Drosophila melanogaster: one gene and its partner. The protein of the gene in region 1 interacts with the protein of each later gene in a pairwise test. Each region holds a gene or a part of one and is shown on either strand. Other genes may lie near its edges.

What was found.
Region 2: the proteins of CG9541 (region 1) and CG8774 interact in a two-hybrid assay, tested with the Drosophila melanogaster proteins (one large-scale study listed by BioGRID).

What each region holds. Positions count from the first base shown.
Region 1 is NT_033779.5:8,971,240-8,978,424, reverse strand, and holds the start of CG9541 (uncharacterized protein), read left to right. Parts: upstream 1-3,448; 5' UTR 3,449-3,493; coding exon 3,494-3,515; intron 3,516-4,888; coding exon 4,889-5,200; intron 5,201-5,365; coding exon 5,366-5,508; intron 5,509-5,887; coding exon 5,888-6,070; intron 6,071-6,142; coding exon 6,143-6,645; intron 6,646-6,707; coding exon 6,708-6,924; intron 6,925-6,994; coding exon 6,995-7,159; intron 7,160-7,185. Other genes in the region: CG13101 (uncharacterized protein), read left to right, coding at 1-4, 68-383.
Region 2 is NT_033777.3:13,295,502-13,302,686, forward strand, and holds CG8774 (uncharacterized protein), read left to right. Parts: upstream 1-3,478; 5' UTR 3,479-3,512; coding exon 3,513-3,701; intron 3,702-3,759; coding exon 3,760-4,115; intron 4,116-4,249; coding exon 4,250-4,394; intron 4,395-4,448; coding exon 4,449-4,982; intron 4,983-5,044; coding exon 5,045-5,973; intron 5,974-6,054; coding exon 6,055-6,730; 3' UTR 6,731-6,833; downstream 6,834-7,185. Other genes in the region: CG8773 (uncharacterized protein), read left to right, coding at 1-597, 669-766, 826-1,143, 1,208-1,326, 1,392-1,477, 1,557-1,962, 2,021-2,669.

The DNA of each region.
Region 1 (7,185 bases):
ATAAGTGAGTTTTTATCTATAACCACATAAAATGTGATACGATTTAAAGATATGTCATTCTCTATAGGAAAGGCAAACCTTATATCTACTATGTGATTGACTGGAGCAAACCTCAAAATGCCTTCACCACGGTAGTTGGCGTACTTTTGTTGTCCTGTTGCATTTATGTGCTGCTCTTTGCCTTCTTCAAACTGAGATTATTCCTCCATCGACGCTGTCGAAATGCAAATTTCGTACTGCCCACCAGTGCGAAATCAAATGGTCAAACTAATGGATTAGACGATAAATCCGGAAATGGAATTCAGCACTCACCATCTCGCATATCAATGGTATTGGGCAATTTCGCTGGCTATGAGAATCAGGCTTATTTGCCCACTGGCTAACTGTCGAATAAAGGCTAATCGTTGAAGTGCACAATTTAGTCGGTAGTATTTAGTCAAATCAACTTGTAGAATTTATGACCAGTGATATTATATTATACTGTTTTATGTTAAGTAAATAAATTCGTTCTGCGGAGTATTGTTGCTTAACGGCATTTGAAGGTAAAACCCGGTCTATGTCCTTCGGCGGAATCAATATTTATACTTAAACAAAAAACATGCTTAAGAATTCTGATCAAAAATTCAAATAGTTAAAAGTTCGAAAAGGAAAGCATGAATGTACCCAATAGCCATCGGGGTTTTTCAATTCGTTTGACACGCCCGCCTTTGGGAACTTCACAGTTGATAATTAAGAATTTATATCTGACCATATCAGGATGGCTCAAGGTGCATGGGTATCAAAAAAAAAAAAAAAAGAAATTCTAAGCCAATTAGTAGTGTGGCTGGTTGTACGAGATGTGTAAATATTTTACTCAAGCCCCTAATCACCTTTGAATGGCCGCATTAGGCCCAAATAGGCCCTGAAGGACATTCAGTTCAGAGTTAATAAACCGGCAAGGACTGAAGTAATTCTGATTGTGGGGCATCTATTTATAAATGCTCGCTCAGGTGCCAAGAGATTTTCATTGTTAGTTTCATCCAATTATATAAATAGATCAATTCAACTTAACGGAACCCTTGTTTTTTAAACCAAATGAGTTGTGGCTTAAGTTCAAATTATGACAAAATAATTATTTTACATGACGTACTGGTATATATCATCAATATATATCTCACCCTTTTTTTTCGGATGTGCTCAAATAATTTATTGGACAGCACATATAATTCGATTGTTGGTGTTTTCATAATTTCTCATCCTTTCAACGCACTTTACGCCAACAAAGGGTCTCCTTAGCCAGTGTCCTTAATCACAGATGTTCGGTTCGAGTTGCTTAACCCTAAGTTGGCCGCCCCCGTCTGTCATTGTGTACACACGTTGGCCAAAACGCGTAGCCTTAATTAAGCTTGAAAAGGGGATTTAATAGCCAAAGGACCCGCCCAGAGGGCCCAAGGACGAGCACGGGACACGAGCTGCGGCTGTTCCCCAGTTCCACTGCTGTGGTCATTGCAAGGATTTGCCTTACGCATAAGCTGGAAAAGCAAACCCAGAACTGCTGGTCAGGTGTGGGTTCAATGTCAATTGGTTCGTTGGCTGGTGGTTCGTTTTGGTCAATTCGGCTGTTGTTATCTTTGTTGTTGCCGTCCTTGTGTCGACGGCACATGACATGTCACAAATTCCAAGAAATTAGGCGTCGCATCTGTGGTTGTCCATGGATCGATATGAGACCAATTTGATCGATATGAAGTTTCCTTGAGCTTTGAACTTCTTCGAGTGTCCTTGACGGGTCTATTACACCTGTTCCCTCCGTCCAGTGTCAACTTCAAAAAACCCCCAGCGAATCCAATAGAATTTTAATTGAACACATTTTGGAAATTTTGACAGCTGTCCACACATTGCGTCTAGTCCTCCCCCCTCCCTCCCAAAAAAAAGAGGTATCATTGAACTGCAACCAGAAGTAAACTAAATAATTAACGTCAATTAATAGTGTGAAATATTAATTGAAGGCACGCCCACTGCACATCTAACAGCCCAGTGTTCCAATTCCCAACTACTGTATAAGGAATCCAACCCTATGTCACCACTCGCCGCCCCACGGGATTTATCAATTTGGGGCTCTTGTCACTGTGGGTCGCCATGACTGCGCAATTTATCCGCCATCGATGTCATGAAAGTGATTTACAATGAACACATACCCTATGGCAGACTCATAATGGGTGAACACACTTTCGAAACGAACCAAATGACATTTATCATAACTTCAAATTATAAAAAATATTTAATTATTTATTTATTTAAATTTAGAAAATGAATTTTTTTATAACTTACAAGGAAAGCTTTCAATGTTAAAAAATATCTTATATCCAAACTTATATTGTATATAATTTCGATCATTCAGCAATATTTGCTTAAATGCAGAAATCAATTAGTTTAAATCGAAAATCTTAAGTCTTGGAACTGTAACTATTTTTTTGAACCACATAATCTGGGTGTATATAGTCTCTTGACTTGAACAGCTGCAAGTCTAAGGATTTATTTACACCTATGAAAACGGAAGGCTTACCGCCAACAACAAACGGCATAGACGACAGGACACCAGCACGCCAGCACGGAAAACAAAACAAAAAAAACCTGGAAAATGTTTTAAAAACCATGCCACATACGCGAGAGAGCCCGCACATGTGTGTGCAGGATGTATGAGAAACGCACCGCTGGTTCCAGGACACAGGACACTTTGTTTGGAGCGCATAAACAAATGGCGGCCCATGAATGACACAGACATGTGAGGTGGATTTCTGATGGGGGCACATAGGTATTCTAAGGTCGTGCGTGAGACTTCCAATCGGGCAGGACAAGGAAATCCCGACCACCCACGCCAAACTGGAACTGCATTGGTGGTATGAAACTGCTGGAACCGCTGCTCATAAAGTATTCATTAATTGGAATAGTGACCAGGGGAACCGGTGCTCGTAGAGCTAAAAACCGAGCCAGTTGTCAATTCTGAAACTCAGTTTCGTTTCGGACGTTCGTCGAGTTGTACGTGCTCGGTTTGTTGAACTGCACAACCGCTGAACCGCTGAACTGCTGAACTGTGGCACCGTGTAGCGCACTCGGAAATCGAAAATCGGTACACAAATCGGTCGAGTTCGCGGCTAATGCAGGAATCAAAACACTAAAACCGGCAACGTCATGTAGTTCGTTGTGGTGCGTGTTGCCGACGATAAAGCGCGAGAACAAGTATCCCAGAGATACCAATAATAAATGTACACATATTTATAATATATATCGAGCGAATTTCACTCACGGTAGTCATGGACAGTCGAAGTTATAGAATGCAAAACATTTGTGGAATTCTAAACAATTTCCATTGAGAACTGATCCTTCTTCTACTTTTTATTTTCAACGAGATAATCATTTTAAAGTTGCAAGTGTGTGGGCTAGAGTGTGTGTGGGTGGTGTGCGGTAGGGAAAACACTATTGCGAAAATTCAGCTATACTGGCCACCGAATGGATAATGGGTATTTGTTTAGACACAGGTGAGTAATGCCACATGCAGCAGATTTGTAATCAAAGATTAGCATTGCCTCTCCACGGCCAAAGATAACAAAAAGAACCCTAATGAGTCGCGCAGGCGAACACGACAGGTGAAACACGGTATAGAAACTTCATGGGTTTTTGTGACCACGAATTTTCAATGGCAATCAATTAAAGTCGGTCTACATGTATAGAATAGCTTCTAGCTGATCACTGAAAAATATTAACTATTTTGCAGCATACTTTCGGGATACCATTGTTGGTTACATGAACTATATAAATTTAAAAGCAATATAGGAACAGAAATAAAAATTGACTACAAAATGATCCCCATATCATAACGTAACTCTTTTTAGTCTCGGTGACATATTCAATTGACCACAACTCAAAGGACAGTTTCAATTGAAATTACTGCAATCACTTTGCTTGAAATTTATTGAAAGAAAAAACAATTATCTGTGACAAAACGTTGCTTTTATATGTGTACACCTAGCGTTATATCAAAATCGAGACCTTGCCCAACGGTATAATTTGTATCGGAACTTGGACTCTTTTGGCCTCCATGGCTGCCAGGTCCTTGGACATGTTCGTTGACCACCGAAGCTAGTACACATAAATCCTGAAACTAGCGTCACGCACAAAAACAAAAAGAATAGCGATACAAATGGGGAAATCCCCGAGACGAAAAGGGATAGCAACAATAACAAAACATGTCAATTAAATAAAACTGCAGGAAAATCAATAAAAATGTCACAAGGACTGAACTGGTTCCGCGGGTGGGCAGACGTAAAATTTCTATGGGGAAATTTAGAGGGGTATGTGTACGGTATTGAATGCTATGGAATCGCCATGCTGCAGCTGATTTTCCATGAATGAATTCAGCGGTGACGCCATTCTATACTAAACACGGTTGCCATACAATTAAATAATTGTTAAACATGTTTTAATGATGGGCTTTGCGATTTGTTTCGATCCCTAGCTCCCTTCCACCCATCGAGTGCGTGTGGTTTCTGTCACTAATTTCCTACTCCTGGCAAATTGCTTCCGGCCTCGGTGAAGGCTGGCTAATGGCTAATGCCAACTTGGCACGTTATGTCTGCCCTTGCCTTTTTCCGGTCCCCGGTTTCCTTGCGCTAACTTGCCAACACATCCGGTTTCCGGTTTGAAAAATTTCTGCGCTTTTGCCGAAGTCAACTGTTGCTTCTCCATGGGTTTTAAAAACACTTAACTAATGAGATACAGTCCATTAAATTGCCTGTAAAAATCGGAGAATTGGTATATTATTGCTTTCTATTGAATATTTAATTTAAATTCCGTATTTTAGACCGATTACATTTTATTGTAAATTTAAAATAATTTATTTAAATATAATTAGATGCCAGCGCGGCACAAGATACCGGCGAACCAGGCAACGATTGGAATCTTACACGGAATCGAAATGGCCAAAATGCTGGCGATTTGGAGGCCGCTGCGGCGGCAGGACGATTGGGTTCTACCAATGTCGGCGCTATCGATATGCAAAATGCTGGAAAAATCAAATTCGATCCGCCCAAAGTGCCAGTGATATTTGTTTTAGGCGGCCCCGGTAGTGGCAAGGTCACCCATTGCGATACCTTCATGCAGGAGCGACGCGGTGTAACGCACATCAATATGATGGATCTCCTCCAGCAATATGCAATGGGCAATGGTAAGATATCTGTGGTAAATGAAGACAGAAGGTATATACAAGTATGCTATTGAGGAGAGACAGCTGTTGTTGCAATATAAACTACTTTATAATATAGTGCTGCATACTTTTAGACACTTTCGACGTAATCCGTTGCCAATTGTCTATTAAATGATTTGCCCACAGACATGCAAGACTTTTCACAACTGTCGTCGAAAACAGTCACTGAGGTGCTGATGTTGGAAATGAAAATGGCTCCAGCTGCCAAAGCATACCTGATATCGGGATATCCACGCTCCATGCGCGACGTTGTCGAGTATTCTGAAAAGGTAATTTTCCACGCAACCGACTATTTTTCGCTGTCTTCCCCACCAGCTCACCCAATTATTGTGAAGCCATTTTGATTGCCGCACTCTTTATTTGCCCAGTAAATTGCTGCTGAACTATTTCAACTAATTAACTGGCAAATGAGTCGGCGACAGTGTGTTTATTTGGCCATAATTCCCATGGATTTACGGTGACTCCTATATTATATATGCAAGTGCTAATTGGACAGACTGGGTGCAAACGGCACTTGGGGAGTTTCAAGCACATGGCGTTAACTATGGTATATAGACCTACATATTGCATAAGTAGGACATAACAATTTGGAGTCATAAATAAAAATTAATCTTCTTTGATTGGTTTTTTTTTTCTACTTCCTTTCAGATTCAAGTCGTGAATGGCGTGATTCTTATATCCTGGCGCCAATCGGTTCTACAAAAGCAAATCGATTATGGGGCCAAATTAGGTCATGTAGTACTCTCCTTAGCCAAAATGGAATTAGAAAATTTCTTTAAAAATGTGATGCCAGTCGCCGATTATTTCGATCAGAGCGACATGTTGTTGGCCGTAAGTATTTTGTGCATTGCAATAATGATCATATCAATAATATATGTTAATTGCTTTCTTTTTATTTTACAGGTAAATGGCGAACGTGCGCCCACAGAGGTATACAAAGACTTTCGCACCGCCGTCCTCGATATACTGAGCACCCTCGAGAACCAAGAGGCCGTTATGAATGGAGTTACAGGTATGGGCAGAGGGATACATGATATACCCGGCAGTATAGTTAGCGTAGACACCGCACCAAGTCAAGCCCAACAAGGGACTCAAATTGCAGAAGACAACGACGTTACCAATGCCTCGGAAACTGCGGGAACAGTTTTGGCCAGAGATTTGGCGATCGAACGGATGGATGGTGGGCCAAATGGAGCCGTGACAGCTCTGAAAACGGGCACCACCAGTGCGGACGATGACAGCGGTGTTGTGGTCACTCAGCAGCCAAAGTTGCGCCAGGCTGCTGGACCAGACGAATCCGGATCGGATTTGCCACCTATTATATGGGTGATCGGCGGTCCGGGCAGCAACAAGGCCACACTCTGCCTCAAGGCTGTGGGACTAAATCCTGGCTGGGCTCACATCAGGTATGTTGCATTGGATGTGCTCATTATATAATTTTGCTTAAACTGGCATACTACTTTTTAAGTGTCGGTCGTCTTTTGCGCAATATCACGGACTCTGCACCACGTGCCAATACGGAAAGCTTCGCCGTCAAGGAAGCCTTGGCCGCTGGGGATATGGCCCCAGAAAAGTCGCTGAATCAGCTGCTGGAAACCAATCTGCGCCAGTTACGGGATAGAACTGGAATTATCGTAGATGGTTATCCCAGAAACCTGCAGCAAGTCAAGTACTTTGAGAACAAGGTAATCTATATGATGGCTAAATCCCAATTTAAAAGTAACTTTAATTTACTCCCTTTTTTTTATTGCTTAGTATAAACAACGACCGCCTATTATCCTGCTGGATTGCTCAAAACTTCAGTTGGGCCGAGGACGTATAGATGATACGGTTTCCTCCTTTCGCCGTCGCTTGGAACTCTTTCGTGAGCAAACTCTGCCCATGCTCAAGATTCTGGATACCAGTAATCGTTTGCAGATTGTAAGTAACCAAAGAACATTCCGAAA
Region 2 (7,185 bases), on another chromosome or scaffold:
ATGAGACCCGCAAGTGGATCGCCACCTCCAAGTTCGAACCCACCTACGCTCGCCAGGCTTTTCCCTGCTTTGATGAGCCAGCATTGAAGGCCGAGTTCACCATTACTCTAGTGCATCCTTCTGGGGAGGATTACCATGCCCTGTCCAACATGAACGTGGACTCGAGTGTCAGCCAGGGAGCCTTCCAGGAGGTCACGTTTGCAAAAAGTGTTCCCATGAGCACTTACTTGGCCTGCTTTATTGTCTCCGACTTCGCCTACAAGCAGGTGAGCATTGACACTAAGGGCATTGGAGAAACCTTCTCCATGAGTGTCTACGCCACTCCGGAGCAACTCGACAAAGTGGATCTGGCTGTGACCATTGGCAAGGGAGTCATCGAGTACTACATTGACTACTTCCAAATCGCTTATCCGCTGCCCAAACTCGATATGGCTGCTATTCCCGACTTCGTCTCGGGCGCCATGGAGCACTGGGGATTGGTCACCTACAGGGAAACATCGCTTTTGTACGACGAAGCCACGAGTTCCGCCACCAACAAGCAGCGCATCGCCAGCGTAATTGCCCACGAATTCGCTCACATGTGGTTTGGAAACTTGGGTAAGCTAAATGGCGGTTTGCATAGATCGGAATTCGTATTCTTAACCGTAACTCCAATTATCTTCCATAAGTAACCATGAACTGGTGGAACGATCTGTGGCTAAACGAAGGATTTGCTAGTTTCGTTGAGTACTTGGGCGTAGATGCCGTCTATCCAGAATGGAAAATGGCAAGTGCACCTAGGTTAATTAAGGTTACATCCAACTTATTTACATATCATATCAATAGCGCGATCAATTCACGGTGAGCACTTTGCACAGCGTACTCACCTTGGACGGAACCCTCGGATCCCACCCGATAATCCAGACCGTGGAAAATCCGGACCAGATCACGGAGATTTTCGATACCATCACGTACTCCAAGGGTTCCTCTCTCGTCCGAATGCTGGAGGATTTCCTGGGGGAGACAACCTTCCGCCAGGCGGTTACCAATTATTTAAATGAGTACAAGTACTCCACGGCGGAAACGGGTAACTTCTTTACAGAGATCGACAAACTGGAATTGGGATACAATGTCACAGAGATTATGCTAACATGGACGGTGCAGGTAAACACATAGACGTTTACTTCTAAGTTCGCGAATATTTCAACACCCCATTCCTTTTTTGCAGATGGGTCTGCCAGTGGTCACGATCGAAAAGGTGTCCGATACGGAATACAAATTGACGCAGAAGCGCTTCTTGTCCAATCCAAACGACTATGACGCCGATCACGAGCCCTCGGAATTCAAGTGAGTGTGCAGAACTTATTGCCTGGACGCTATCTGATCGCGAATTTCGCACATACATTATATAGCTACCGTTGGTCGATCCCCATCACATATTTCACCAGCTCGGATTCGGTGGTGCAGCGTCTGTGGTTTTATCATGACCAGAGCGAAAGTAAGTGGTGTCGTCTGTATGCTGGAGCACGGCTCCCCAGATCTTTGATCTCTAACTTGTTATATATTTTGTTTGACAGTCACTGTAACTGTTCCCGCTGCCGTCGAGTGGATTAAGTTTAACGCCGATCAGGTGGGCTATTATCGCGTTAATTACGATACCGATCTGTGGAATGATCTGGCCGATCAGTTGGTGGTACAACCAAGTGCATTCGGCTCTGTGGATCGCGCTCATCTCCTCAACGATGCTTTTGCCCTGGCCGATTCCACTCAGTTGCCCTATGCAACGGCCTTCGAGTTGACCAGATACTTGGACAAGGAGACCGATTATGTTCCCTGGAGTGTGGCTGCTTCCCGTCTGACTTCGCTTAAGAGAACACTCTACTACACCAGCACCTATGCCAAGTACAAGAAGTACGCCACAGCTTTGATTGAGCCCATCTATACCGCACTCACCTGGACAGTCGGCGAGGATCATTTGGATAAGTGGGTAGATTCTTTAAGAGATGTGTGTATTTTTTATATCATTCCCCTGCATCTCTAGCCGCCTTCGTGTCACTGCTTTGAGTGCCGCCTGTTCTCTGGGTCTGGAATCCTGTCTCACTGAAGCCGGAGAGCAGTTCAACGCATGGCTGGCCAAGCCGGAGGATCGTCCAAAGGCCGATGTCCGTGAAACTGTCTACTACTACGGAATACAGTCCGTTGGAAGCCAGGAGGATTGGGATGCAGTCTGGGAGCTGTTCGTCAACGAATCCGATGCCAGCGAGAAGTCCAAACTGATGTATGGCCTGTCTGCCATCCAGATTCCCTGGATTTTGCAGCGCTACATTGACCTGGCGTGGAACGAGGAATACGTGAGGGGTCAGGACTACTTCACCTGCCTTACCTACATCTCTGCGAATCCAGTTGGTGAGTCCCTGGTTTGGGACTATGTCCGGGAGAACTGGCAGCGACTGGTGGACCGATTCGGACTCAACGAGCGTTATTTGGGCAACCTGATTCCCTCGATCACTGCCCGCTTTAGCACCCAAACCAAGCTGGAGGAGATGGAGCAATTCTTCGCCAAATATCCGGAAGCTGGAGCCGGCACAGCTGCCCGGGTGAGAGCTCTGGAAACGGTTAAGAACAACATTGTTTGGCTGGCCGAGAACCTGGAGGGTGTGGACGCCTGGCTGGACAAGCAGCCACTGTAAAAAGTCCAAGGAAGTGGTCTTGCGACCATGGTTACCATTAAACATGTACTCATCTAATTGCCATTATAAAGCAAAAATTTGCCGAACAAGTGGAAATAAAGATAAGCTTAGTTATTGGAAAAACTGAAATTACACCTCCATAAATAAGCAATTATCCATTGGACTGATTGGTAACATGGGTTGATAATCAAGTTTGGGTGGGTGCCACTATTGGACACGAAAACTTTTGATTGACATTTATTGCACGTCCAAATTTTCGCACTAAATTTGACATCCAATGGAAATTTACTTCATATATGATAAACCCCCATTAATTGATTGAAATATAATTTTATAGTTTTATTGTTACGCCTTTTAAATTATCTAAAGTCATTTAAAACTAAAATATTTACCAAATTGAGCAATATACGCAGACTTTTAATCTTTAATAGTTCTATTAAGCAATGAATATGTAAAATAAAAATCTTTTTTCTATTTTTCTCAGTGATGTGGAGAGAATCTAATTAATATGGCTAATTACCAATAGCACAGATTTGCGTTAGGGAAAGAGTAAAAGTGGCTTAAATGATGTTATTAAACCCATAGCACAATTATGGTGTCATAAGCCACGCGAATTCATACCCTACCGCTCCGTATTTTCCCACTTTCTCTGGCTTTAACCCTATCGCCCATTTGACCGTAATCGCGTCAATTTGGCCAATCACTATCGCAATCGCCGAAGCGAACATAAACCATTTCCAGTGCACACACTATCAACTAATCGAATATTGGGCAACAAGTGGTAAGAGTTGGTTCGAATGACCTAACGCTAGTTAGTCGCTCGCGACAGGTGCGATTGCTAAGATGTTCCTCAGTGGCTATTGGTTGCAGGTGGTGCTCTCCTGGGCGGTGGTGGCCTTTGCCACGGCCACGGTTGTGGTGGCGGTGCAGAAGGCTCAGCTGGAAAGGGACCTCCGCGATGTGCAGGACAAGATCGATGTGTTCGAGGAGTGGAGCGGAGAGAGCCGCACTCGCATGAAGCGTGAAGATACGGTGTGTAATCACTTGCTAATCAGTTGAATCCATTTACTACCATAATCTAACCCTGAAGACGGATTACCGCCTGCCCACGAATCTGGTGCCCACGCACTACGAGCTCTACTGGCATCCGGATCTGGAGACAGGAAACTTCACCGGACAACAGAGGATCAGCATCAAGGTGGTGGAGGCCACTAATCAGATTATTCTGCACTCATATCTCCTGGATATCACAAGTGTCTATGTGCTGAATAGAGAGGTGGAAAAGTTTGAGCTTGAGGAGGAACGTCAGTTCCTGATCATAACTTTGACGGAAGAGCTGGCGGTGGACGCCAGCATTACTCTCGGAATCATTTTTGGTGGACAGATGAAGGATAAGCTTGTGGGTCTCTACAGCAGTACATATCTAAACGAGGCAGGAGCTACCAGGTATTTCGGATATTTTTACGTTATGCCCAAAAGTATGCAATGTGTTCTTATGACCAGATCTGGATTTGTTGTTTTGTTTTGAATTTTTATTTGAATACTTTTTCAATATATAAATTAATATTTTCCTTATGCAGAACCATTTCTACGACGAAATTCGAACCCACTTACGCGCGTCAGGCCTTCCCATGCTTCGATGAACCAGCCATGAAGGCCACATTCGCCATTACAGTGGTTCATCCATCGGGATCCTACCACGCCGTTTCCAACATGCAACAAACGGTGAGCTCAAGTAAACAAACAATTTAAATGGGTTAAACAAAATTTAAATAATAGGAATCCAATTATCTGGGTGACTATACTGAGGCCATCTTCGAGACGAGTGTGTCGATGAGCACCTACCTGGTATGCATCATTGTGTCCGACTTCGCTTCCCAATCGACCACGGTGAAGGCCAACGGAATTGGCGAGGACTTCTCCATGCAAGCCTATGCCACCTCGCATCAGATCAACAAGGTCGAGTTTGCTCTGGAGTTCGGACAAGCTGTCACGGAGTACTATATTCAGTACTATAAGGTGCCCTATCCGCTGACCAAACTGGACATGGCCGCCATTCCCGACTTTGCATCTGGGGCCATGGAGCACTGGGGATTGGTGACTTACAGAGAGACCGCTCTGCTGTACGATCCCAGTTACAGTTCCACAGCGAACAAACAATCGATAGCCGGAACACTGGCCCATGAGATTGCACACCAGTGGTTCGGAAACCTGGTCACCATGAAGTGGTGGAACGATCTGTGGCTGAACGAGGGATTCGCCCGCTACATGCAGTACAAGGGAGTCAATGCTGTGCACCCGGACTGGGGAATGGTAAGGAAATGGATAATACCGATTTGAATCCTCAAAGAAAATATCTTATATTTACCAATCAGCTGGAGCAATTCCAAATCGTGGCCCTGCAACCCGTGTTGTTATACGATGCCAAGCTATCATCCCATCCGATTGTCCAGAAGGTAGAAAGCCCCGATGAAATTACGGCCATATTCGACACCATCAGTTACGAAAAGGGAGGATCCGTGATCCGCATGCTGGAGACACTTGTGGGCGCCGAAAAGTTTGAGGAGGCGGTGACCAATTACCTGGTCAAGCATCAGTTCAATAACACGGTGACCGACGATTTCCTCACCGAAGTCGAAGCTGTGGTAACTGACTTGGATATCAAGAAACTGATGCTCACCTGGACCGAACAGATGGGTTATCCGGTGTTGAATGTCTCCAAGGTTGCAGATGGTAGTTTTAAGGTTACCCAGCAGCGATTCCTCTCCAATCCAGCCAGTTACGAGGAAGCCCCTTCAGATAGCGCATACGGATACAAATGGAGTGTTCCGATTACCTGGTTTGCTGATGATGGTTCAGAGAACAGCTTCATATACGACTACGATGTGGACTCTGTGGGTATTGCCGTGCCCAGCGAGGTGCAGTGGATCAAGTTGAATGTCAACCAAACGGGCTACTATCGGGTTAACTACGAGGAGAGCCTGTGGGCCCTGCTCATCCAGCAGCTAACCACCAGTCCCGCTCGATTCGAAATCGCCGATCGTGGCCATCTTTTGAACGATGCCTTCGCCCTGGCGGATGCCAACCAACTATCCTACAAAATTCCTCTGGATATGACCGCTTACTTGGCCCAGGAGCGCGACTTCGTGCCCTGGTATGTGGCCTCCAATAAGCTGAGGTCGCTCCATCGCAGTCTCATGTTCAGCGAGGGATACGTGTCGTACCTCACCTATGCCAGAAGTCTGATCGCTGGCGTATACGAGGAGGTGGGTTGGACTGTGGACGCCGACAATCACTTGAAGAAGTACGTATATAAGTACCAACTTGTTTTTCTGAAAACATTACTCAAACTACTGTTATTCAAACAATCTTTATTCCTTTGCAGCCGCCTGCGTGTTTCCATTTTGACCGCCGCCTGTGCCCTGGGTGTTCCAGATTGTCTGCAGCAGGCTTCCGAGCGCTTCAGCACCTTCCTGGAGAATCCGACCACTCGACCTTCCCCCGATCTTCGCGAGATTGTCTACTACTACGGCATGCAGCAGTCCACCAGCCAATCGAGCTGGGATCAGTTGTTCCAACTCTTTGTGGCCGAAACCGATGCCAGCGAGAAACTGAAGCTGATGTACGGATTGTCTGGCGTACGGAACAGCCAGTATCTGTTCGACTTCCTGGCACAGGCCTCCAGTGATGAGAGCATCGTTCGCTCCCAGGACTATTTCACCTGTGTGCAGTACATAGCCGCCAATCCTGTGGGTGAACCGGTGGTCTGGGAATTCTACCGCGAACAGTGGCCCCAACTCACCACCCGTTTTGGCCTGAACAACCGCAACTTTGGACGACTTATCGCCCAGATTACGGCCAACTTTGCCAGCTCCGTGAAACTGGAGGAGGTTCAGCACTTCTTCTCCAAGTACCCCGAATCGGGAGCTGGAGCTAACTCCCGGTTGGAGGCCGTGGAAACCATCAAGTACAACATCGAATGGCTATCCAGAAACGAAGCTGACATCACCGACTGGCTAAGTGGAACGGCCTCGCCGCTGACCAAGAAAAACCAATTGTAAAATTGTATATTGTATATAAACTGGCCATTTAGCCAATAATTAGAGTTGCATAAGCGAAAATTCCGTTCGAGTTCAATAAAATGAAATTTCAAAATCAAACCATAAATACAACCCCCATATTTTCATTCATTTTATCCGAGGCAAGTGGGGATTTCTATAGCTTCTAGGAAATAATTGGAGATAGGGTCTTTGAGTATATGGTCAATGCGGAATCATGACCATGCGTAATTATCCTGAGTAATTAGAGTGTCCAGTCATAATAGTCGATATATGGCCTTGTTCGAATCGTAAAAGTAATGGTCTAGCATAAAACGATTTTATCTGGACACGAAGCTATATAGTATATAGTCTAGATATCGGTCAGCAATCTGATCAGGTTTATCAAGTCCAAATTGTGGGGTCAGATTCGCAACTTGCATTCAGTTTCCAATTTGGCTTCCAGCCTAGTGGAAGCA